5 linked regions of the Tribolium castaneum genome follow. The protein of the gene in region 2 purifies or fractionates together with the protein of the main gene of each other region. This does not show direct contact. Links are inferred from orthologs where the notes say so. Each region holds a gene or a part of one and is shown on either strand. Other genes may lie near its edges.

The links.
Region 1: the proteins of dbe (region 2) and nucleolar complex protein 4 homolog B purify together in Homo sapiens (co-immunoprecipitation; 3 studies listed by BioGRID and IntAct, with this or other methods). This does not show direct contact. The link is inferred for Tribolium castaneum from reciprocal best matches to the Homo sapiens genes KRR1 and NOC4L.
Region 3: the proteins of dbe (region 2) and ATP-dependent RNA helicase DDX24 purify together in Homo sapiens (affinity purification with mass spectrometry; 3 studies listed by BioGRID and IntAct, with this or other methods). This does not show direct contact. The link is inferred for Tribolium castaneum from reciprocal best matches to the Homo sapiens genes KRR1 and DDX24.
Region 4: the proteins of dbe (region 2) and Larp7 purify together in Homo sapiens (affinity purification with mass spectrometry; 4 studies listed by BioGRID and IntAct, with this or other methods). This does not show direct contact. The link is inferred for Tribolium castaneum from reciprocal best matches to the Homo sapiens genes KRR1 and LARP7.
Region 5: the proteins of dbe (region 2) and protein KRI1 homolog purify together in Homo sapiens (affinity purification with mass spectrometry; 3 studies listed by BioGRID and IntAct, with this or other methods). This does not show direct contact. The link is inferred for Tribolium castaneum from reciprocal best matches to the Homo sapiens genes KRR1 and KRI1.

The regions. Positions count from the first base shown.
Region 1 is NC_087395.1:51,492-56,149, reverse strand, and holds nucleolar complex protein 4 homolog B, read left to right. Parts: upstream 1-1,507; 5' UTR 1,508-1,621; coding exon 1,622-1,955; intron 1,956-2,007; coding exon 2,008-2,337; intron 2,338-2,396; coding exon 2,397-2,874; intron 2,875-2,933; coding exon 2,934-3,267; 3' UTR 3,268-3,285; exon of another isoform or gene 3,286-3,343; 3' UTR 3,344-3,730; downstream 3,731-4,658.
Region 2 is NC_087402.1:7,508,709-7,512,607, forward strand, and holds dbe (KRR1 small subunit processome component homolog), read right to left. Parts: upstream 2,138-3,899; 5' UTR 1,957-2,137; coding exon 1,180-1,956; intron 1,127-1,179; coding exon 863-1,126; 3' UTR 860-862; downstream 1-859. Other genes in the region: rod outer segment membrane protein 1-like, read right to left, coding at 232-662, 711-830; Etf-QO (electron transfer flavoprotein-ubiquinone oxidoreductase, mitochondrial), read left to right, coding at 2,283-2,316, 2,600-2,701, 2,746-3,899. UniProt on the Homo sapiens protein: Part of the small subunit (SSU) processome, first precursor of the small eukaryotic ribosomal subunit.
Region 3 is NC_087396.1:20,625,994-20,630,882, reverse strand, and holds ATP-dependent RNA helicase DDX24, read right to left. Parts: upstream 3,147-4,889; 5' UTR 3,081-3,146; coding exon 2,471-3,080; intron 2,422-2,470; coding exon 2,268-2,421; intron 2,207-2,267; coding exon 1,709-2,206; intron 1,614-1,708; coding exon 1,384-1,613; intron 846-1,383; coding exon 674-845; intron 609-673; coding exon 341-608; 3' UTR 321-340; downstream 1-320. Other genes in the region: myb-like protein X, read left to right, coding at 1-316; Cpsf73 (cleavage and polyadenylation specificity factor 73), read right to left, coding at 3,224-3,316, 3,361-3,483, 3,531-3,847, 4,585-4,889. UniProt on the Homo sapiens protein: ATP-dependent RNA helicase that plays a role in various aspects of RNA metabolism including pre-mRNA splicing and is thereby involved in different biological processes such as cell cycle regulation or innate immunity.
Region 4 is NC_087394.1:30,501,780-30,506,699, reverse strand, and holds the start of Larp7 (la-related protein 7), read left to right. Parts: upstream 1-1,889; 5' UTR 1,890-1,970; coding exon 1,971-2,145; intron 2,146-2,206; coding exon 2,207-3,044; intron 3,045-3,098; coding exon 3,099-3,321; intron 3,322-3,378; coding exon 3,379-3,657; 3' UTR 3,658-3,876; coding exon of another isoform or gene 3,877-4,152; 3' UTR 4,153-4,202; coding exon of another isoform or gene 4,203-4,574; 3' UTR 4,575-4,920. Other genes in the region: Gar1 (H/ACA ribonucleoprotein complex subunit 1), read right to left, coding at 3,877-4,152, 4,203-4,574. UniProt on the Homo sapiens protein: RNA-binding protein that specifically binds distinct small nuclear RNA (snRNAs) and regulates their processing and function.
Region 5 is NC_087396.1:21,290,482-21,295,315, reverse strand, and holds protein KRI1 homolog, read left to right. Parts: upstream 1-1,827; 5' UTR 1,828-1,903; coding exon 1,904-2,012; intron 2,013-2,058; coding exon 2,059-2,665; intron 2,666-2,711; coding exon 2,712-2,868; intron 2,869-2,917; coding exon 2,918-3,269; intron 3,270-3,320; coding exon 3,321-3,406; intron 3,407-3,452; coding exon 3,453-4,286; 3' UTR 4,287-4,376; downstream 4,377-4,834. Other genes in the region: Hmgs (hydroxymethylglutaryl-CoA synthase 1), read right to left, coding at 89-1,480; Srp54 (probable splicing factor, arginine/serine-rich 7), read right to left, coding at 4,377-4,834.

The sequences.
Region 1 (4,658 bases), on a different chromosome or scaffold from region 2:
AAAGTTTTACACTAAAAAAAATCATAACTCAAAATGTAAACGTCGTAGAACAACGCGGTTTGTTCCATTGAATTCTACGGATTATTTTACATATTATATCAGTTTCTCACAAGAATTAAAAATTTTAATTTTTTGCTCAAAATTTTATTCAGCAAAAAAATTCATAACTCAAAAATTAAAAATCGTAGAGCAAAACGGTTTGTTCCAGTAAATTCAACGGCTCATTTTCTGTATTATGTCAGCTTTTCACAAGATTTAATTTTGATTTTTTTTTCCAATTTCCAATTTTTGTCGCGATTTTGATCGATTTCCCGTACCCGGAACATTTATCGCCCAATAACTACGGAACTATTAGAGATAACTCAATGAAGTTTACTATTGCTAGAAAGCTCTTTTAATTATCTATCATTTGCAAAAAAGGTTATTATTTACCGATTGATAGTTTTCGAGAAAATTGTTAAATAAAAGCAAAATTCGGTCGTATAAACAAACATTCATAACTTAAAAAGTATTGGGAATTTGGCCATTTTTTTCGTGCCAATCAATTCCCCGAATCATTTTGCATATGCAGACATTAAAATAGTTCCACCTTTTCAATTAGTTTTGTCGTAATTGAGAATTGAGAAAACAAAAAATTAAAAAATTTAGAAAATTGCCAATTTTAAACGTGTCTCAAAATCAAATAAAACCCATCTCATCTGACAGATTTTGAGGTGCCCATTACGATGGAAAAAAGCATTTTCTTCTAGCTCTTTTAGTTCGGCCGTAATTGGCGTTTGAAAATTGAAATTTTTTGCGATATATCGCCTTGAAACCTATGCCATTTTGAAAAGTTTTTTTATTCCGGTTCTCTTCGATTTATCGGATTTTCGCTAATTCTAATCGTTTTGCCATAATCGGCGTTTAAAAATTGAAAAAACGTGAAAATGGAAACCTTTTTTTGCGTTTTTTTTGAAAACTGAAAGACTGAAAGCACAAACAAAAAAATCATCTGATAGCGATTAAAATTATCTATGTTTTCGTCTACACCCGAAGCCGCTCCGGGCAACGGTTCCGGCTACGGGGCGTTCAAAGTTTTACACTAAAAAAAAATTAATAACTTGAAAACTAAAGTCGTGGAGCAACGGTCGTTCTGAGAACATTTTTCGAACATAACTCCGGAAGTATTAGAGATAACTCCATGAAGTTACTATCGTTAGAAAGTCTTTTAATTATCTATCACTTGCAAAAGACTATGGTTCTCCGACTTATGTTTTCGAGAAAATTATTAGCTGTTTCAAAACTATAAAAACATTTTACTAAATTATTTTTTTAAATAAGGTTGATAAAAATGTAAAATAGTTATTAATGATAAGATCTCTCATTAAAACTATAAATTACATTAGTTATTATTTTCTTGAAGTCATGAATAATTTATAACCTCTAATTTTGAGAGAAAAGACGCCGTTGGCGTTTTTATAGTTTTGAAACATGTAATATGTCTCTGTGGTGGTGACTTGACAAGTAACAGTCACCAACTTGGTAACTTGACAATTAAAATCCCCGTCCTGTCCGCCATAACCTCACTTTGTCGAGAAAAATCTGTGATCAAAAAGTGGTGTTTTCGGTCGTTTTTAGGAAAATGTCCAATCAGGAAAAACCGGTAAAAATCTCGAAACAATTACGTTTAAAAGCTCACGAGTTCCTCTCGTCTCGTAAAAATTCCGAACATTTGCTAAGTATTGTACGTCATTTCGAATCGGGTGCGGACCTGTCATCATGTTTACTCACTTTGGAATTGATATTTACGAATTTATTAAAAGACAGGGATATGTACATAGAAGTGGTTCCATTAAAACCCATCGAAAAAACTGAAACGAATCAATACAAGGAATGGTTGAGGAACTTGTATGAAAATTGCTTTAGTAAAATTCTTGAATCATTTGAGAATGACTCGAATAAGATTCAAATTCAGGGTAAGTGATTGCATTGTTGGAATCGTTGGATGTTTATTGGGTGGTTCTTAAGGTTTGTCCACTGCCATGAATATTATTTCCTATGAAGGAAAATTTCCTTTGGAGAATAGAGGGAATTTGGAGTGCTATGTACCACTGAATAGACTAAAGCCTGTTTTGATGAAACTACTCTCAAACAAGCACAATAACGTTCATCTTATAAACAAATACACGGAATATCTTCTTTATAGTGACATTCTTTTCTTTTCTTGGAAACTCTTACCGTCATTGACGGCTAAAACTAACCCAAATGAAACGTACATAATGAATTATTTACGCTTACTTGAAAAACTCGAATTGCGGAAACCCGACGAACAGCAAACTTTATGCGGAAATGAAACTGGTAACTTTACTTAAATATAGCCATCAGAAACTTAAACTGAACTGTTTTCAATTTTTTAGGTGATTTTTTCACATTTGACGAAAACGTTCCTCTCCGTGCGTTAAATAAAGTGTGGCATTGTGTCATGTTGTGGGAGCACAGCCCCCAAACCCACAAACAACTCTTGATTGTTCTTCTCGAACGCGCCCTTCCCCACTTGGAAAAACCCCTTTTCCTAACTGACTTTCTCATGGATTCGCTCGATGTAGGAGGCCCTGTTAGTTTGCTCGCCCTCCAAGGAATATTCACCATGATCCAAGTCCACAATTTAAACTATCCCAACATTTTCGCTAAATTGTACTCAATGTTTGAACCGGAAATCTTCCACACCAAATATAAGGCGCGTCTTTTCTATTTGTCTGACTTGTTTTTGAGTTCCACTCATCTGCCGGAAAATCTTGTTGCGGCTTTTGCCAAGCGCTTGGCCCGTTTAGCTCTCATTGCGCCCTCTGAAGACGTCGTCATCATCTGCATGTTTATAGGGAATTTGATTTTGAGGTTAGTGGTTGTTTAATTACAGCCCCCTATTTATAATTATTTTAATAAACTGTTTACAGACATCCAGGCCTCAAATGTTTATTGAATAATCCAACGGAAGGCACCGCCAGCTCTGATCCATACATAATGGAAGAACGCGATCCAGTCAAGTCAAACGCTATCAACAGTTCTTTGTGGGAACTGAAGAGTCTTCAACAGCATTCAATACCAAGCGTTGCAACGGCCGCTAGATTCATTAATTCACCTTTGCCGACAATCGAATGGGACTTGAGTCGGATTCTGGACGAAACTGGAGATGATATTTTCGATAAAGAGGTGAAAAAACATGGAAAATTGATCGCGTTGGCCTTTGACAAGTCACATGATCAAATTCTACACTATTGGAACATTTAATTACGAGACTGGATCAAGGTAATAGTCACATGTACGGAATTATTCAAAATAATTGATTTTGAATGATTCTGTATAGATATTTTATTGTGATAAGGAACGGGCGTGCCTTGACCATTATTTGCGTCAGGACATATCTACAATGTGTTGCGGATTTCCACCGTTTAAATCACACGCATTGTTGCTGTGTAACATTTGTTACCTAGCTAACAATCGGCATTGGTGTGTGTATTCATCATTTCAGCTTACACCATCATGTATTTTTTATTGACTTTTGATTAAAAAATACAACTCATTAATTTATCCAATTGAAAGGTGATTTTTCAATGCCTAAAGTAATGTTGAAAATAACAAAAAAAAAACATCGCTGTGTTATTTTTTATGTATTAATACTTTAGAATAGTATTTCTTAATGTGTATTGTTATTTCTAATTTTTGATGTTGAATAAAATGTTGCTTTTTTCAATGTGTTATTCTGGTTCTGAAACAATAAGTCCTTTATCTGAAATCAACTTTGGAATCTCCTTATTCACTTTTATGGCAAATACATTATCTAAAATTGGAAAGTATTAAATATACAGGTTGTTCCGTCTAAACCTCACATTAGAAGTATTGAAAGTTCTAATAAAAATATTTATCTGAAAGTTACTACTCAGGCATAATCCGTTAATTTCTGCTCAACGAAAATATTTTCAAGAAGGCTATTAACTTTTTCATTTTAAATGGAAAGCTATGTTTTTCACTGCGTTTTTGCATTTGTTGAGTTATTTTAAGAGAGTGTTTATAAGCTTTTCCTATGCCTAACTTTAACCATTTTTGAGATATTTAGTATTTTTTGAAAATTTTTGGATTTACATGTCTCTTAAAAAATAGGTAACTCGCTTAGTTTTAGAGATTTCGAAATCATGTTTGGAGAATTAAAAGAGAAGGCCTATATCTGTTCTTCAGTGTGTTCAAAATTGAAAATGAAGTTACAAAACTCAAAACTTTTAAGGTTAAGTTTGGACAATTTCAAGTACCCATAAAATTCTTTCAAATGGGATGTCCGAATTTTTATTTTACTAGGTAGAGGAGAATTTTGTTCTGCATCAATCTGTATTAGTATTCTCTATACCTATCTGTGATAATTTACAAGTTATGTTGCTTTTTTTGTCATTGAAGGAAATTTTTTATTAGCCACAACTATTTTTGCATAGTTTGCCATAAAATAAATTCGTTGAATGTTGGTTTAAAAATCTTTAATTTCCCACATTTTTTCTTCTCGTTTCCCTGGCAACCTACGAGAAAACGCCTATGGCTAATGAATTTTTCAAATCCAACAAAAAATATTGTAACTTGAAAACTATAAACTTAAATTATAGGGAATGTTAATACAGATTGATGCTGAATTAAAT
Region 2 (3,899 bases):
TACCTAATCAAATGGTTGTCTTCCGCTAAAGGATACAAAAATATCGTTACTACTTAATTGAGGACCAACATCTTTGGTTTAGTTATAACTTTTTTTGTTCAATTTCGAGTTTTTTAAACCTAAACAAGTGCGTTAATAGCATTGTTAAAGTTACAAAATAGAAAAAATAATGTGTGAACTTTCGTTTTCTAAATAATCTCTTCAAAACAGCTGCTTTCTACTTAAACATACCCAGTTTCCTTCTCCAGTGTTTGATCCTGCCACTTGATGGTATACCATTCGTCATATTTCTTGCTTCCGCAGCACTGCATTTCAATTTGTAAGCGATCAATCTGTGATTTATAGGTCGTACTGTTCAAATAATGATTCATTGCAGTGACAATCCCATCGTGGAGTTTCTGATGCGTGCTATACGCGTGTGCGATAACACTAACAATTATTATCAGAAGAACAACCACCATAACAAGGGCCAAGATAATTAAAAAGAACATCATTCGATTGGCGCCGGGTTGTTCGCTGGGATCGAACACCGCATAAACGAAATAACACATCATTAAATTAATGATGAGAAAAAAAAATACCGGCACGGCTTGCAACGCTGGTAAAGTATCACCATCGCCGCTTGAAATCATGTTAATAAAATACCCGAGGTGGGATCTGATCTGTATTGCGGAAATTAAAAGTTTTAACGAGAAAATTACGTCAATTACAAGAAACACTGTCAAAAAAATTGCAATCAGTTTGATGCTCTTGTACTCAACTATGCGCACTGGAAAACCACCCTTAACGGCGATTCTTTCCTGGGATTCGTCTTCGTCTAGATCAGACATTGTCAAACTTCGGTGTCAAATCAAACAAGTTGTTATTTTACAGGTTTATTAAACATTTTTGCACCTTTGCGCGCCTTCATGATTTTTTCTTTAAGTGACGCTATATCAACTTTCGTGTTAACATTCGGTGATTGCTTCGAGGTTGAGGGCTCCTCAGGTGGGACAAACGCTTCGTTTCTTTTCTCCTCACGTTTCTTCGCAGCCGCAGCGTGTTTTTCATTCTTCTCTTTCTGTTTCTTTTGCCGTTTTTGCTCCTTGTTGAGGAAGTATTCGCCAGAAGCTAGCTCCTTATCGATCTAAAATTTAACAAAGTGTTATTTGTTTCCTACAAAATTTTTGAATTTTTTACCTTGCTTTCAGTTTGTGGGGGCGGGAAGGGCGTGTACGGTTTCTTCTCCTTCTTCTTTTTCGGTTGTTTCCGCTTACTGATATTTTTATTAACAAATCTGGGTAAAAATCGGTCCCAGTTCTCGTTCTTGAGCTTGGGATCCTTCGCTAATTCTTTCTTGATCATCAGAGCTTTGATGTTATAAATAGGATGCATGTTTTTCATGGTATCTTCCACAATCTTCCTGACTTGCTGTAACCCCTTATAAGGCCCCAAAGCCGACACTGTCTGTCCTTGCACCAACACATAACAATTAGTCAGCAATTCAATTGATTTCAACGTACAACCGTTCGGCCCAATTAGCCTCTGTCTTCTCTTAACAAACTTCTCTTTATTCCTTGTAATTTTCCCTATTTTAATGATATCACAACCGACGTCGTCATTCAACACCCGCTTGGCTTGCTCAAAAGGAACACTCCGGGACATTAATTTGATCATGTCTCGAGCTTTGATTATGATATAAGGGTCCCAAGTTTTACGCGTCGTTCTCACAGTCATGCTTCCCTCAACCACGTCCAATTCTGCATTGATGTGGTGCTCTTTTAAAGTCTTTTGCACGAGGGGCCACACTTGGCGCAAATACTGCTCCCGGTATTGGGGAAAAAGCGTCGCGAATGAACTCTCCTCCAGGAGACCATGGGGGTTATCCTCGGGCTTAAACTCCGGGATTTTCATCGCCCAAGCGTTCTCGACGGGACCTGAGGGCGCCTGGGACTCATCGTCGCTAGAATCCGGCATTTTCACTCACAAAAACACCAAAATATGACGAAATGGAAAAAACACGTGCATTAATCTTTTGACAGGTGGCCGATAATACAGGATTCTGTGACTGGAAATAACCCAAAACTCCATGAAGTAACGCTATAAATGATATAATAAAAGGATCTAATCTCTCACATTGTTGTATAATAATAAAAAATGTAATAAATCATGAGATAATTATATAAGCCGATAAAATAATGACGGGCCCTCTGGCGGAATCAGTATCAGACACACTTAAAAACAGCTGTTTGTCAATCACAAATGTTACGTCAAAGGTGTAGTAGGGCAACTAGCTGGTCGACATGGCATTAAATTTGTTTACAAGTATAAAATACGGTAAGTTCTTTATTATAAAGTTACTTGGCAACCAACTGATACATTAATAAACTAAAACCACGACAATGGTCACTACACTTATTTCATAATTTTTTTTTTTGAAAAAACTAATTATTGTTACAATAATCTTGGGATAATTATGTTAGAATTTGCTGGAAGTTACGTTAATTTAATGGTTGTAAGTCATTCTGGTGGTTTTTCACGGATAAATTATGAAATATTGTCCAGAGTGACCTTTGTACCGTGTTTATGTTGCAAAGTGCATATTGTTTTTTTTTTCCAGCTAAATCTTTGAAACCTTTGGCACGATGTTATTCGGACCAGTTTCCCAAAATCACGACCCACTATACCGTTGTGCCGCGAGAAAACGACCCACGATGGAAAGGTAATTATTTCAAAGTACTCACTAATTGACCAGCTTTCATTCAGAGGTGAATATGGAACGGTTCGGGGACGAGACGGATATTTTAATAATCGGGGGAGGTCCTGCGGGGATGTCTGCCGCGATAAGAGCCAAACAATTGGCTGAAAAAGACGGGAAAGAGCTCAGGGTTTGTGTTGTGGAGAAAGCATCTCAAGTAGGAGGTCACATTTTATCAGGAGCTGTTATACAACCAACAGCACTCGATGAATTAATCCCTGATTGGGCGGATAAGGGGGCACCGTTAAAAACCCCAGTAAAGGAAGACAAATTCGGGATTTTAACAGCCACGGGTCGAATCCCTGTTCCGGTACTGCCAGGTACCCCCATGTACAACCACGGGAACTACATCGTGCGGCTGGGGCACGTGGTGCAATGGCTTGGGGAGCAAGCCGAGGCCATGGGTGTTGAAATCTACCCAGGGTACGCAGCTTCGGAAATCCTCTACCATCCCGATGGTAGCGTTAAAGGGGTGGCGACCAACGATGTGGGTATCGCCAAAGATGGGAGCCCTAAAGACAATTTCGAACGAGGCATGGAATTACATGCCAAATGTACCATTTTTGCGGAGGGCTGCCATGGACATTTATCCAAACAAATCATAAACAAATTCAACTTGAGGGCAAACTCCGAGCCACAAACCTACGGTATTGGTTTGAAGGAGATTTGGGAGATTGATCCTTCGAAACACAGTCCTGGCCGCGTTGAGCACTCGATTGGTTGGCCTTTGGATAAATTCACCTACGGTGGAAGCTTCCTCTACCACCTCAATGAAGATACTCCTTTGGTGGCGGTTGGATTTGTTGTCGCCTTGGACTATTCCAACCCTTATTTGAGCCCTTTTAGAGAGTTCCAAAGGTTCAAGCACCACCCTAGCGTCAAACACTACTTCGAGGGAGGTACACGTATTGCCTATGGGGCGCGTGCTTTGAACGAAGGTGGCTTCCAGAGTATTCCCAAACTGACGTTCCCTGGAGGATGTCTCGTTGGGTGTTCGGCCGGCTTCCTCAATGTACCAAAAATCAAAGGCACGCATTATGCCATGAAAAGTGGGATGTTGGCTGCGGAAAGCGCCTACGAAGCCATTAATAGCGAAAAACAAGAAACTGAAGGTTTTGAACCGAAGAGCTATCCAGACAAAGTTAAGAACAGTTTCATTTGG
Region 3 (4,889 bases), on a different chromosome or scaffold from region 2:
AGTGCCTGGGGAAAATCATGCAAAAGAGAAAACTTTGTGCCCTTCCGATTTATTCAACAGTGATGGTTGTGTTAACCTAACGGACGAAGGGGAAATACCCATTTTACACATATCGGACCCGGAAAACCCCCAAAACGAGCAACAATGTACTTCAACGCCTGTCAGGCCAACGCCTCTAGAAATGCAATTTTTGGAAGACTTGCATCTTTCGATAAGTGGGGATAAAGTGTCGGAAACAAATAACGGTGAACAGAAAACTCCCAATACGTCTTCCGCGAAGAAACGGCGCAGGGTCGTTGTTACCATGATTGATTAATCCATTTTATTGTAATAAAAACTTTTATTTTGGATTGTTCGCAGTTTTTTTAGGTTTGTAAAGTGGTATCCGCTTTTTCGACTTCAATTCTTTCTCTACAGCGTTTTTCACAGTTTGTAGAGCCGATTCGTTGGTTTCCAAATTTGGGGAAAATTCGCCGGAAATAAGCGGATATTTTCCGCTAAAACCCTTCGGGAAAATGGGTTTGGTGAGAAGGGCAGTTAACTGTTTTCTCTTAACGTCTGCGAGCTTTTTCTGTGACGAAATTTCGTCAGAATCGAATTTTTTTGAACTGATTTTTGTGTTAAGGAAGTGATGTATGCAGTTGCGATTTCAGAATTGTTATTTAAAGGATACAAATCATCGACGATAATATCCATTTCTTTAGCCGCTTTACGCAACCACCCTTCCTCCGAATTTCCCTTCCGTATCTGTAATTCTAATTTGTCCAGTTCTCGTGCTAAATTCACTCGCTGTTTGACGGCTTTTAAATACTCTTCCTGTACCGGAAAAATCGGCAAATCTTCACCTGTAACAATTCACAAAATTGCAATAAATTATTTCACAGCCCAACAAAATAAATCAGTTATTATCTCATTAATTAGATGATTTAATTTTATTAATCGTATTTCTTAAGAAATCTAATAGAGGTTTATTTGTTTAATTTTTTGAATAATACAAATATTGTACAGGATTGCATTTCTGTAAAAAATATGGATACAAAAAACTAGTCACAGTTGTTGGAATTTCTTTAAATTTGATGTATTTTTTTATTTTTCTCTTCAAATTGTTTTATCACATTACTACAATCTTTTCATTGGCTGCTTCTTTTGATTGTTGTTCTGATAGTTTTTAGATTTTTTTACCTTAAATGTGTGATTCAGTTTTCATATCATCATTAATTTTTCCGTATTCAATTTTTAGTTTTATCATAAATCATCATTTGTTACAACATTTTTTTTTCATGAGATTTAAACGTTAACCTTTTTCATAAAGATAGTTCATAAAAAATGATTTTTATTTTATAGAATTAGCAGTTTTACCGCCGAAACCAAAACGTCACTTACTTCTATTCAAAGTTTTGCAGATTTTTATGTAGTTCTGTATTTCCGAAGGCTCCATTAAAACTACAGTGAGACCTTGCTGAGTCGCACGAGCTGTGCGCCCAGACCTATGAACATAACTCTCACTTGTTCTGGGTGTCTGATAATGCAAAACATGCTCGATTTTCGGAATATCCAAGCCTCTAGCTGCCACATCAGTGGCCACCAAAATTCCGTGTTCATCGTCCCTAAAACTATTAAAAAATTACAGTATTAATATTAAACATTTTTTAATTTTTGTTAACATGGGCAAAAAAATTAAAAATAAACATTTTTCACAATATTTTACCGTTCCAAATTTTTCAAACGCTGTCTCTGCTGCATGGACGCGTGAAGGGGCAAAGGCCGACACCCCAAAATGCCCAACAAATTCGCCAAACGTCGCACACATCCGATCGAATTACAAAAAATCAAAGTCCTGCCTGGATGCTTCTGCAGGAAATAATACACGTAATAGTCCTTCTCCTCAATCCCGCAACTGATTCGGCTTTCGGTTAAAGTCGCCGGTGTGTTTCCACCTTGACTTATGTCCACAATTTTCGGGTTTTTTATGCCCAAATCGGTCATAATCCTGCTAAGTTTTTGTTGCGGTGTCATTTTCGAAACCTTTGATTTATTGAAGCGGTATTTCGGCAAATCGTGTACTAGAGTGAGCGTTGCAGAAAAAACGAAATTTTGTCTTTGTTTCGCTCTTGTTTTATCAAGGTTGAGACGTTCTAATATGTTGTGCAGCTCCTCAAAGTGGCCCTTTTCAAGCATTCGGTCCGTTTCGTCAATTGCTAAATATCTGTAAAAATATTTAATAAATGAGTATGAAATTTTGTTGAAAAAACTCGACTTTTATTCACCTAATATCGTTTATTTGCGACAAATGTTCATTGCCTTGTTGGATTAATTCCCACAAACGGCCTGGAGTTGCGACCACAATTTCTGGTCTCTTACTCAAAATTCGCTCCTGTTTTACGGCAGCCATGCCCCCAAGAACCACCGCAATATTTATATCTATTGAAAAAAAATTAATAAGTCGTTATTAGTATTGATTCAAAAATACCTGTAAATTTTACAATGGCTTTTAAGTGGTCTCGCACTTGCACCGCCAGTTCCCTTGTCGGTGTCAAGACAAGTGCATACAATTTTTTATCCGAGTTTCCCACAACTTTACTTTTTTCGTTCAAAATTCCGGCCACAATTGGCAAACCAAACGCAAGCGTTTTCCCACTTCCCGTCTCCGCAGCCCCCACAATGTCCCTGCGCCCCAAAACGGCCGCAGGTAACGAAAGCGACTGAATCAGCGTTGGTTCGTTAAAACCTTGCAAAACGAGCGCCTTGATAATTGAGTCAGGCAACCCGAAGTTACTCCACACTAGATAACTGTCCGATTTTTGGATTTTTTCGTTAATTTCAACGCGCGTCTCAACACTACTGCCCTGTTTCGAGGGCGTTAGAGCCACGGAAGACACTTTCCGTTTTTTCTTGGCCGGTTTTTCAACCACGACAGGGCTTTTATGCTTCTTGGAAATCTTGGAGCGGTTTATCTTTCTTGGTTTTTCCAAATTTACCAAACCGTAATCTGTACATTCCTCGAACGCGACTAAACCCTCGGAATTGAGATTCGGGTCTTCCACAGGGACTGGTTTCCAATTTATTTTGTTTTTAACCATTTTACATAAAAAATTCTAACCACACTTTTATGACATGTGATAACATAAACGTAACCTCAATAACCATTTAAGTTGGCAGGCTTGTTTAAATAAAACCACATTTGCTTATTATAAAATTTATTTATTAAACAAATTAATTACAATTATATTTGTGGTGGTGCTAATGACTGATACAACTTGGACACGGCCGTTTCCACAATTTGCCTAAAAGTCTCATCTTCGGGACACGTCACTTCCTGAAAAAAAATTGCAAAATTTGATTAACACAAAATTGCCTTACCAGAGTGGATAAATCAATATCGGCCTTTTTGTCGTTCACTGTAACGTACAATTTCTCCCCTTTGAACATTTTCGGGACTGAATCTTCCCCAAACATGTCTTGCAACATTTCAATTAAACATTCCTAAAACCTCGTTATGTGAATCAATAAAACGACAAAAAAATAATTACTTTAAAGTGCATCCGGTCCACTTTCACACTAGTTGATAAGTTTTTAATCGGAGTGTCCAACAAATCGGCCTGAAGTATCGCTGCCACTATAGCATCGGCATACATATCGTTAACAGGGTTGGCAACCCATTCTAGCGTCACAATTTTATTTTCTATTGTAATATCAATAGCATTAAAGGCCCTTGTCTTTTTGTCCCCTTCTACGGGTTCGAGCAAACCCGCCACTTGGGTCAACAAGTGCCGCAAAACGCCCACATTCCCCGAATAGTGAATGCTCTGTCTTTGCATAATTTGGCTCATACTCATGTCAGTGTACTCTAAAAAATGAAATAAAAACAATATTAAGTATATGTTTATTTAACGAGTCGCAGTGTAAATCGGACGCTTTATGCCACGAGTGATAAAAGTAGAAAAAAGTGAAAACTGCAACATGTTTTTTGCGTTTTTCTCGCAACCTTTGAGACTTAAAGCAAAAATGAACAACGCATCAAAATTTATCGTACAAACCCGGAGCCGCTATAGGTAACAGTTCCGGCTGCAAAGACATTTTAAGTTTATTACTAAAAAAATTCATAACTCCAAAATTAAAAGTCCTAAAGTAAAATGGTTTATTTCAGCGTATTCTACAGTTAATTTCATGTATTACGTTATTTTTTGACAGCACTAGCTTGCTTGGGAACCTATTTATAAGCATATTTCAAATTGAAAGATGGTGGATGCGCCGGGTCATCTACTAAACATTTACAACTAATTAAAAGTCCTAGAGTAAAACTGTTTATTTCAGCGTATTCTACAGTTAATTTTGTGTATTACATTATTTTTTTACAACACTAGCTTACTCCAGAACTCATTTATAAGCACATAGTAAATTAAAAAAATGGTGGATGCGCCGGGCTACTCACTAAACATCTATAAATCAAAAACTAAAAGTGCTAGAGCAAAACAGTTTGTTCCAGTGAATATCACTGCTCATTTTACGCAATATAAGTGTAATAATATGGTTTGTAATAATTTTTTTTACAAAAATAAAAAAGAACAAAATTTTTTTCCTTACTTGGCAAGTCGTTAGCCGCCAGCAAATGATAATTAAAATTCCTCTTGACCAAAACCCCCGAAAGCACATTTCCAGGCTTAGGTTTCTCCACCGCTAAACTCCCCATAACTTTGGCCGTCTTCTCTCCCCTGAAATACAGCTCAACAGCGTGCGTATTTCTGGGAGTGTGCAAGTGTATTGTGGTGTTGGGATCATCCTCGTACTCCCTCTGCAGGGCGGCTTTAAGCCGATTCATTTCATTCTGCTCCCCGTGCACCAAAACAACGTGTGGCGGTTTGAGAATTCGGATAAATTCGCTCGTTTGT
Region 4 (4,920 bases), on a different chromosome or scaffold from region 2:
TTTTCTTCTTTGTAACATTTTTTTTAGTTTTTGGGAAAAAACATAATTATCCGTTTACAACAGATATTCATTTTGCTAATACTTTTAGGTATTTATCAAGAAATGCCGTATTTCTATTTTTGATGTTGTCTATTTTTTTCTTATTTTTAAATTCATTCTTGTCTCTAAACATTTCTTTTATTCAAAACGTATTTTTCCTGTTTTTTTTTTCCAAAACCCTCTACATTACGTACAAGTATTTTTTTATACTTGGCACTTGGCCTCTACTATAAAACTCACCCTATATGGACAACACCTGCTGGTGGTACTCTCATTCTCATTATCTCAACAGGAAAAATTATCTAGTAAGAGATTGAAAAGTAAGTAGGTATAAATTTTTTACAATAAATTCTTTATGAATAATTTTTAATCAAATAGAAAAACTTTCATAATGAAAAATTTGTGTAATTGAATAGACAATTTTTACATTTTTATAAAATGAGTGTATTTACCTCATTTTTAAAAAGAAATCGGAAAAAAATTGACAAAAAGATAAATAATAATCTATAAGTAGGTATTCAGGTTGTATGATGATTGAACGTGCTTATAATTATTGTAACATTATCCACTTGCCTATCGTCTGCTAAAACTTCATGCAGACGTTAGTTTGAGTGACTTAGATAAAAGACTTAAGCCTAATTTATCTTGATGACTTAAATGCTTGTTATCTACTTGTTAATAAAACAATGACATCAGTAAATCGTTTTACAATGTGAGTACAATTAAGTACACACATAAATGATATGAATAGGGTACAAAGTTTTAATTTAAGTCACTTGACTTTTTTTATTGATAGCTGGTGTATCTAAATACAAAAAGTAGTTATAAACATTTGGATAGGACAAGTTGTAGTTATTCTAACGTTTGTTTTCTTTGTTTGTTTGTTGTTATTTTGTATTTCGTATTATTTTAAACTTTTAACTAGAAAAAACTTATACATTTACGGATCAATATTGTGGATCAATGATTCTTTTAGACCAGAATTAAATTAAAATTGCAAGGACTAACAATTAAAAAAATTAATGTGTTTTTCAAAATATCTTTGCAAATGTACATACTATAACTTTTTATTTTGAATTTGCCTCATTAATTGTGGCCAAAAGCCAAAAGATAAAAACATCTCCAAAAGTACATAGTTAAATAATAAATAAGCACGAAAAAACATCGGCAAAGATACTATGAGTTAGTTATGATAAATGTTTTTTTTAAATGACTGTTGTAATTTAATCTGATGAATAATTTTACTTATGGTTTCATAAAATTTAAACCTATTGTAAGATTGCTCAAGTTGGTGGCTTATATGTTGCTAAGGCGATAACATCAGTACTTATACGTGCTGATGTTTAAATTTCACAATCCATAAGGCAAACAATATAAGTATGTCAGTGATTTAAGTAACTTAATGTAATAAACAACTTACTTTTATCATTTTATCGGTGACTTTATAGTTCGTTTCTAAGAAAGATGAAATCAAGGTGAGTATTCAGTTTCACATAATGGATTATTTGAAACGATTTGAAGTACTATTCAAATTCATGGTAAAACTTAATTAAATTAGTTAATAAAGTATAAAAGTTTTTTTTTCATAATCTAAACTAAATACATAGAGTTATTCACTTAAGACTTCACGCCTGATTAGGTAAAAAGTGCAGCACACAATGCACTAGGAGTAGCATGGGTGTAATTGATACAACTAAACATAATTATTTTTTGAATAAGAGCTATCTCCTATGAATAAGAGTAAGCGGCGTATAATTTAAAAAGTAAATGATTTTTTTTGCATTCTAAAAACATTTTTTTTAATTAGGCAACCAAATTTACCTCCAACAAATATTTTTTTTCTATGGTTGGCGGCAGTTTCTTTTTCAATTTCATTTCCAAACGCTAAGTTAGGTTATAATTTTCATTTTTACTTCTGCAAAGTATTGAAAATGGAAAATGAAACGAAAGAAAATGCAAATGCACACGACGATTCAATACTTAAAAAAGGTCGCCATCGAAAAAAGCAACTCTACAATTCCATTTTGCAGCAAATGGAATTTTATTTTAGCGACTCTAACCTCACCAAAGATAGATTTCTATCTCAATTAATAAAGGAGAATCCTTGTAAGTGACTATATGATTATTTTATGAGTAGTTGTAGGTAAATACCAAGCACTTTTTTCAGTTGTCGACCTGAACGTATTTTTGAAATTTAACAAAATTACTAAACTCACAACCAGCATAGATGATATCCAAAAAGCTGTACAAAAGTCGCAGTTAATCGAATTATCAGAAGATCGTAGTAGAATTCGTCGTACAAAACCGGTTAAAGAAAAGGCTAACGTTGATGATTGTACGATTTATGTAGAACGCCTAAAATCCGATGCAACTCATGAATGGTTGAACTCTGTTTTTTCTGAATTTGGAAATGTGGTCTACGTTTCTATACCAAAATACAAAAACAATAGTGCCATAAAGGGTTTTGCTTTTGTCGAATTCGAGAAAGAAAAGGAAGCGCAAAATGCTTTAAATTACTTTGAAAGCATTGGCTGCAAAATGCCGTCAAATACAGAACCAGAAACTCTTTGTAGTATTAAAACATTTGAAGAAAGTAATGAACAATCTGAGGCTTCCTCTAAAAATTCTACACTGAAGCCAAAATCTGGAGAAGACGAAAAGGCAACAAAAAAGCGAAAACTTGAAGACAATAGTGAGAATAGCGAAAAACTAGATAGTGAACACTGTGAGAGTAAAGCGGAGGAAAAAATAAGAAAACGAAAACTTGAAGAAAGTGAATCCGGCGAAAGTGAAGAAAAAGGGAAAAAAATGAAAGTCGATGATAGTAAGCACACTGAAGAAAATGATGAACACAGTGAAAGTGACGAAAAAGAAAAAAATTCAAAACATGATACTGGAGACGTTTCTGAGTCGGACGATGCCGAAAATAAGAAAAAGAAGAAATTGAAAAAAGAACACAAAAAGAAAAATTACATAAAAGAATTGGGCCTCCAAGTGTTATCAAAGTAAGTGAAGCAGCTAGAATTATCTTTAATCATTGATAAATAATTGTTTTTTAGAAAAGAGTGGAAAAAGATGCGAAATCGGTATCTAGATTTACAAAAGAAGAAAATGAAAGAGTTTAAAAAACACCTTCTAAAAGCCAAGTTTAATCAACCAAATTATGAACAAAAGTCGAAAACTCCCACTGCTAAGACTGAACTCAACAAAGAGGATTTTACCAAGGGACTTATTGTAAAAATAAAGCTAACCGAAGCTACCCTGGATATAAAGAAACTTAAGGTAAATTTTCTAAACTAAATATCTTGGCCAATTTATTTGCGATAAATCGTTTTTCAGAATGAAATTAAAACTTCTTCAGCTGATATATTGTACGTAGATATTCCAAACCCTGGCAGTGAGAACATTTATGTAAGATTTAACACCACGGAGGGCGCTAAAAATTTTTGCTCCCAAGAATCTTTTGGCAAAAAAGAGGTATTAACAGGACAGGAAGAATCTTCATATTGGGAAAAAATTAAAACAGATCGTGAGGATAAACTAAACAAAGCAAAAAAGAAACAACGTGGTAGAGACAAACTGTTAAAGAAAGCAAAACATACAAAATTTGATGATTAAGGTTTTGTTTTCAGTTTAAATTTTTTTTAAATATTCTTTATTTATTAACTTTGTCAAACAGTGGCACCATCCATTTCGTGTTGTTTGCTGACATATTCACACAAAAATTTGAAATAACCTGTAGTTCTTATTTTTCATAGATCTATTTTCGTAATAAAAATTTCATACACTTAATGGAACAATTGCCAACCACAAAAAACATTGGTCACAATTTCAAGTCTACCACCTCTTGCCGCCGCCGCCCCCTCCTCGGCCGCCGCCAAATCCACCCCCACGACCACCTCTAAAACCGCCGCCGCCCCCACGACCCCCACGTCCACCGAAATTGCCGCCTCCTCTTCCTCCAAACCCGCCGCGATTGCCGCCCCCTCTGCCACCACCGCGGCCTCCGCCACCCCCACGACCTCCCCCTCGACCGCCTCGTTTCTGGACTGAGCCTGGGGGCTTCGGTAGGAATCTTTGAAGTGGTAACAACTTCGCAGGATCAATAAACAACTGCAAAACATTATTTTAGATGTGTGAATGGTAAGTGAATTTTTTTATACCTTTTGATTCTTTTTAAAACTGCTAGCTTTTATGTCGTCTCCGAGACGTATCGAAACGTAATAATCTCTGAGATTTCCAAAAATTTCATCAATTTTTCCGATTTGTTCCTTATTTTCGAGGTAAATCGGCGCATTGAAAAATGGAACGTCTTCTATTTCTACTTTAGCAACTAAATCATCTTGTACGGTGTAATCGAAGTAGCCCAAAGGAATCACTCTCTCAGGAGGGCCTTGATCATAGTTTCGCCCGCCGCCCCCGCGACCACCAAAACTATTTCTCCCGCCGCCTCCACCAAAATTTCGAGCGCCGCCGCCCCCACGACCACGACCTCCAAAGCCGCCACCACCGCCGCCTCGGCCACGAAAAGACATTTTGTTTCACTCCTCAAATAATTAGAAACGTAAAAGAGCGTCCCTTTGTAAACACGTGGTTTACACTAAATTTTCAGTGCGGCAACATAACCTCTCCTGCAAACGTAACCTCCAACTGTAAACACTCCTAAACTTTGGGCCCTCTAGGAGTTTTCTGAGTTACCATCAAAACAGAAAACTGTAAAGTTAGAAGATGAAGCTATAACTTCAAACCACATGTGTATAATTAGTTGCATACTTTGAGGGAAAAAAACATTTTATTTTTAAATTAACCTTGAACAAAATATTGCTACGCCCCACACTTCCCATTGGTTTCCTTTCTTGTTGAAATAACCATTTAAAGCTG
Region 5 (4,834 bases), on a different chromosome or scaffold from region 2:
TTGACCGGGCCCCCTATTCGCTAACCTGCAGGACATCCTATCTAGAGGCACTTGGATTATTTGAGCTCGTTTACTTAACTCTAAAATACTAAACGTGTCCATTGGCTGCAACTGGAATCCTTTCGTAGAACCGCCGATGCAATTCGTCAATTTTCGCCAAATAATACGTCCCAGGGAAAAAATTGTCGACTGCACCTGCAGGCTCATAGGGGGCTTTGTGACAATTCTTCTCCCTTAGTTCGAGATAAGCTTCGAATTTTTCGGGTGCCACTTTGTGTCTTTGCGCCAACAGTGGCTTGATTAGCTGCACATTTTTGACTAGTTTAGCCAGGGGGGAATTTTCATTGCTGTCTTTCGTCACTGTGATTGAGAACAGGGAGGCTGCAAGCCCCGAACCGTAGGAAAATAACCCGATTTTGCAACCGGCCAATTCCGAGACAGTTTTATTTAATAAAAGGGAGACAAGCCCCCCGTATAGTGACGGTGTGTACATGTTACCAACTTGACTTGCGATGAGCAACGAAGGCTTGGTTTTTGCCTCGAAAGTGTCTTTCGTGAAGTTGAGGAAAGCCTTCTCGACGTCACGATCGAAATAACTCTCGGATAATTTAACCGAATTGAAATTTTCCAAACCTGGGAATTTAACTGTGCGCTGATTGGGCGCACTTGTGAGAAAATCGTTCAAAGCAAGCCTAGCTAGAGACTTTTGGACCAGTTTACAATACGGCGAGTGGAACAAAACGGCATCAAAACACCCCAAATCAAATGCAGAATTGTTCTTTTTCGAATAATTCTTGCCATAGAGTTGGTAACAATTATCCAAAGCACTCAAGTAGCACTGAATCGATAATTTACCATCGACAGTGGGATATTCGGAGGTCAAGTCTGGCTTGTAAAAATCATACGCGTGCTTGACGTACGTCGCACGCACCCCTCTGTCGAAGACAAGGGGGGCGTTGGGCCCCACTAGCATGGCCACGGCCCCGGCGCCCCCCGTGGGCCTGGCAGAGCCTTTGGCATAGACGGCGATATCGCCGCAGACGACCAGGGCGTAGCGCCCGTTCCAGGCCGAGGACTCGACCCACGAAATGGCGTTGAAGAGGGCTGCCGTGCCCCCGTAGCAGGCATTGGTCGTGTCGATGCCTTCAATGTCGGTGACTCCATGGGGCTCGAACAGTTGCATCAGCACTGTTTTGACGCTCTTGGACTTGTCGATGATGGTCTCGGTGCCCACCTCCAGGCGCCCTATGGCCGAGTAATCAACGGAGTACTTCTCCAAAAGGCGCTTCACCACCGTGAGGCAGAGAGAGTTGATGTCTTCGCGGTCTGTGCAAAAGCCCATCTTCTGCTGGCCCAGTCCGATGGTGTATTTGCCGGCGGAGGCCCCGTCGAAGGTTTCGAGTTCCGTTTGGTCGACGTACTGCGAGGGGAAGTAGAGTTCTAGGGCATGGATGCCCACGTCTTGTGGCCACGAACCCATCACGATTTGACACACTTGCACTTGGTTACGCCACCGAAGAGAGTCTGAGTGCGGACTGAGGTGGATTCGGCACCTCACACCATTCCAATTATAACTTACACCCTACTCTTTGAGTTAACCTCAATTTCGGATTTTTGAACGGTGACAGATGCGCAACGAAACCTAAGCGCTAACAACCCAACGACCACAAACCCCAAATTCATTACAAAGCCACGAAATAATCAATTTAGTCACACCGGACTGTTCCACAACAAATACTATTGCTAATTTTAAGTCACAAGAGCACATATAATTAAATTAGAATTAATTTGAACAAGTATAAGATAATGCAGGCATTAGACCAGAAGCGCATTGGTACAAAAGTGCCAAACTCGTGTGACATATAACCACACTTTAGGTGGCACTCAAATTGGCCCAAAAAAAATGTCCAAAATATTCGATAACGACTCGGATTCCGACCCTGAATTAAAAACAGACAACGAGTACGCCAAAAACTACGACAAGTGGCGAAAAAAAGAGGAATTAAACAGGCGTAAGCACCCAGACTTGTCCAACCCCAAATGTCACGTTTCTTTCAGTAAAAACGAAATATGGTGAGGAGTTACTGGACGAGGAGTCGTCCAGTTCGTCCTCAGATGATGAAGAAGGCGTCGAACTGACGGACGAAGTCGAGAAACAATTTTTCAAAACCTTGTCATGCCTCAAAAATAAAGATCCGAGGATCTATGACGAAAACGTGCGTTTCTTTGACGAAACTCCCATAAATCAGCCGAAAACAAGCAAGAAGAGTAAAAAAGACAAGCCCCTGTTTGTTAACGACTATGAGCGAGAGCTGATTTTGAAGAAAAACGGTGAATTAAGTGACGATGAATCAGGGGAAGGACCGCCACGTTCGCCAACTTATATCGAAGAACAGAATAAGCTCAAGGAGAGTTTTAAGAAGGCTTTGAATCGTATTAGTGAGAGTGATGATGAAGATTGGGGCGGGGTGCTTAAAGTTAGACAGAAAACCGAAGAAGAGAAGAAGAAGGAGGAAGCTGATTATTTTGAGTGGTTGGCTGGGCAAAAGGAAGAAATTGATGATAAAGAAGTTGCAAATGAGTTGGAGCCGTTGAAGAATTACTGGAATAAGCCTGATTTGGATGAAGGCGAGAAGTTTTTGAGGGACTACATTTTGCAAAAAAAGTAAACTTCATTATTGAGCGAAGTAATCCTGAATTGTGTTTTGTAGATTTTTGAGTAAAGAAGATGAGGATTATATTCCAACGTATGAGGAAATTGTCCACGATTCTGATAAAGACTTGTCTGAAGATGAAGAAGCAATTGAAAAACAGGAGGAATTTGAACATAAATATAACTTTAGGTTTGAAGAACCCGACCAGGAATTTGTAAGTTAATGGTTTTGTATTATTTTTTGATCAGTTTTGGTTGTTTTAGATTAAGCGGTACCCAAGAACCATGGAACATTCCTTGAGGAAAACAGACGATAAAAGAAAAGTCAAACGACAAGAGACTAAAGAACGGAAGAAGAAGGAAAAAGAACAAAAAATGCAAGAAATGAAGAAACTTCAAGAGCTGAAACGGAGGGAGATTGAGGAAAAGATACAAAAACTGAAAGAGATTACCGGAAACAATGACATGGAATTTAAAGATGAAGACTTGGAAGGCGATTTTGATCCTGAAGCGCATGACAAGCGGATGCAAAATTTGTTTAATGATGAGTTTTATCAAGGACCGGAAGGTGAACAAAAACCGGAATTTCCCGAACTTGACGAATTATTAGAAATTGGTAAGTAAATGCCGATCATTTTTTGGTTGTTTTATTAATAATTCTGTGAAGAAAATTGGGAGAAATGGAAAGGTGATGATGAACCACCTGGAGAAGAAACCGAATATGAGCCACATTGTGAAGATGAAGATTTTAATGTGAGTCTGAAATTTAGGAATTTTATTTTCTAACAATTTTGTACAGATGGATTGCGATTATGATCCGAAAGCCGCAACCAAGCAAGAATTAATCGAAAACAGCAAAGGTAGGAAAAAACGGAAACGCAAATCACTCTTTGCCAAAGCTGTAAGTCAGCCAAAACCCGTATTTGACCCGAACGATAAAACTTATGAGCAATATCTGGACGAATATTATAAATTTGATTGTGAGGATATTATTGGCGACGTTCCTTGTCGATTCAAATACAGAAAAGTGGTTCCTAATAGCTTTGGTTTGTCGATTGAGGAGATTTTAACAGCGAGTGATCGCGAATTAAATAAATGGTGTTCGCTCAAAAAAGCCATTCAGATTCGGCCAGATCACGTCGAAAAGTACGACCAAATCGCGTTTGAGAAAAAAGGAAAAAACTTGGAATTGAAGAAAAAGATTTTGCCCAGTTTATTTGCCAATGAAAATGACAAAGAAGAAAACAATGAAGTTGAAAATAAGAAGAAAAAGAAGGTGAAGAAAGTCAGGTGTGCGAAAACAAATGATGCGGCAAAAATAAACGGTGATGCCAGCACGAATATTAAAAAGAAAAAGAAGAAGAAAAAGAAGATTGTGCAAAACAATAATGAAACAGACAGTAACAACAAACAAAAACTATCAAATAGTGAAACTGTTGTTTCGAATAAAAGTGCGACAAAGGATAAGTCAGATGGCAACAAAAAACGAAAATTATCAAGTGGTGAAGCTGTCCCGAATAAGAGGGTGAAAAAGAGTAAGAAACAAGAGGTAGAAATTACCGATGCCCGATTGTCCGCCTACGGGATTAATCCTAAGAAGTTTAAAAATAAATTAAGATATAAGAAAAATTGAACAAATAAATTGTTGAGGAAAAAAAAACATTTTAATACTTTATCCACATAATATATTTACGACACAAATGAAAAATACAACGTCAAAAATCTACGGTGAGTTGGAAATATCCATATTATCCGACTTTTCCGACCCCTTTTCATTCCCCTCAACCTCCCTCTCTTTCTCCTTGTCTCGTTCGGAATCGAACCCCTTCTCCTCTTCATCGTAATTCCTGGGCACCTTCTCCTTAGACCTCGACCTCTCCTTCTTCTTCTTCTCCTTCCTCCTATCCCTACTCTTTGACCTACTCCTCTTCTTGGCCTTTGGGGACGGCGACGGTGTCCTCCTCCTCCCTTTAGACCTCGACCTCCTCCTCTCCTTCTCCTTCCTCCTCTCCCGCGACCTCGACCTCCTATGACTACGACTGCGCGATCTCGACACCTTCTTTTCCCCACCCTCTATACTACTCTCCTTCTTATCTTTCTCTTTCTTATCCCTTTCCTTCGACTTCCTATCCCTCTCCTTTGACTTGCGATCCTTATCCCGTTTCCTATCTTTCGACCTAT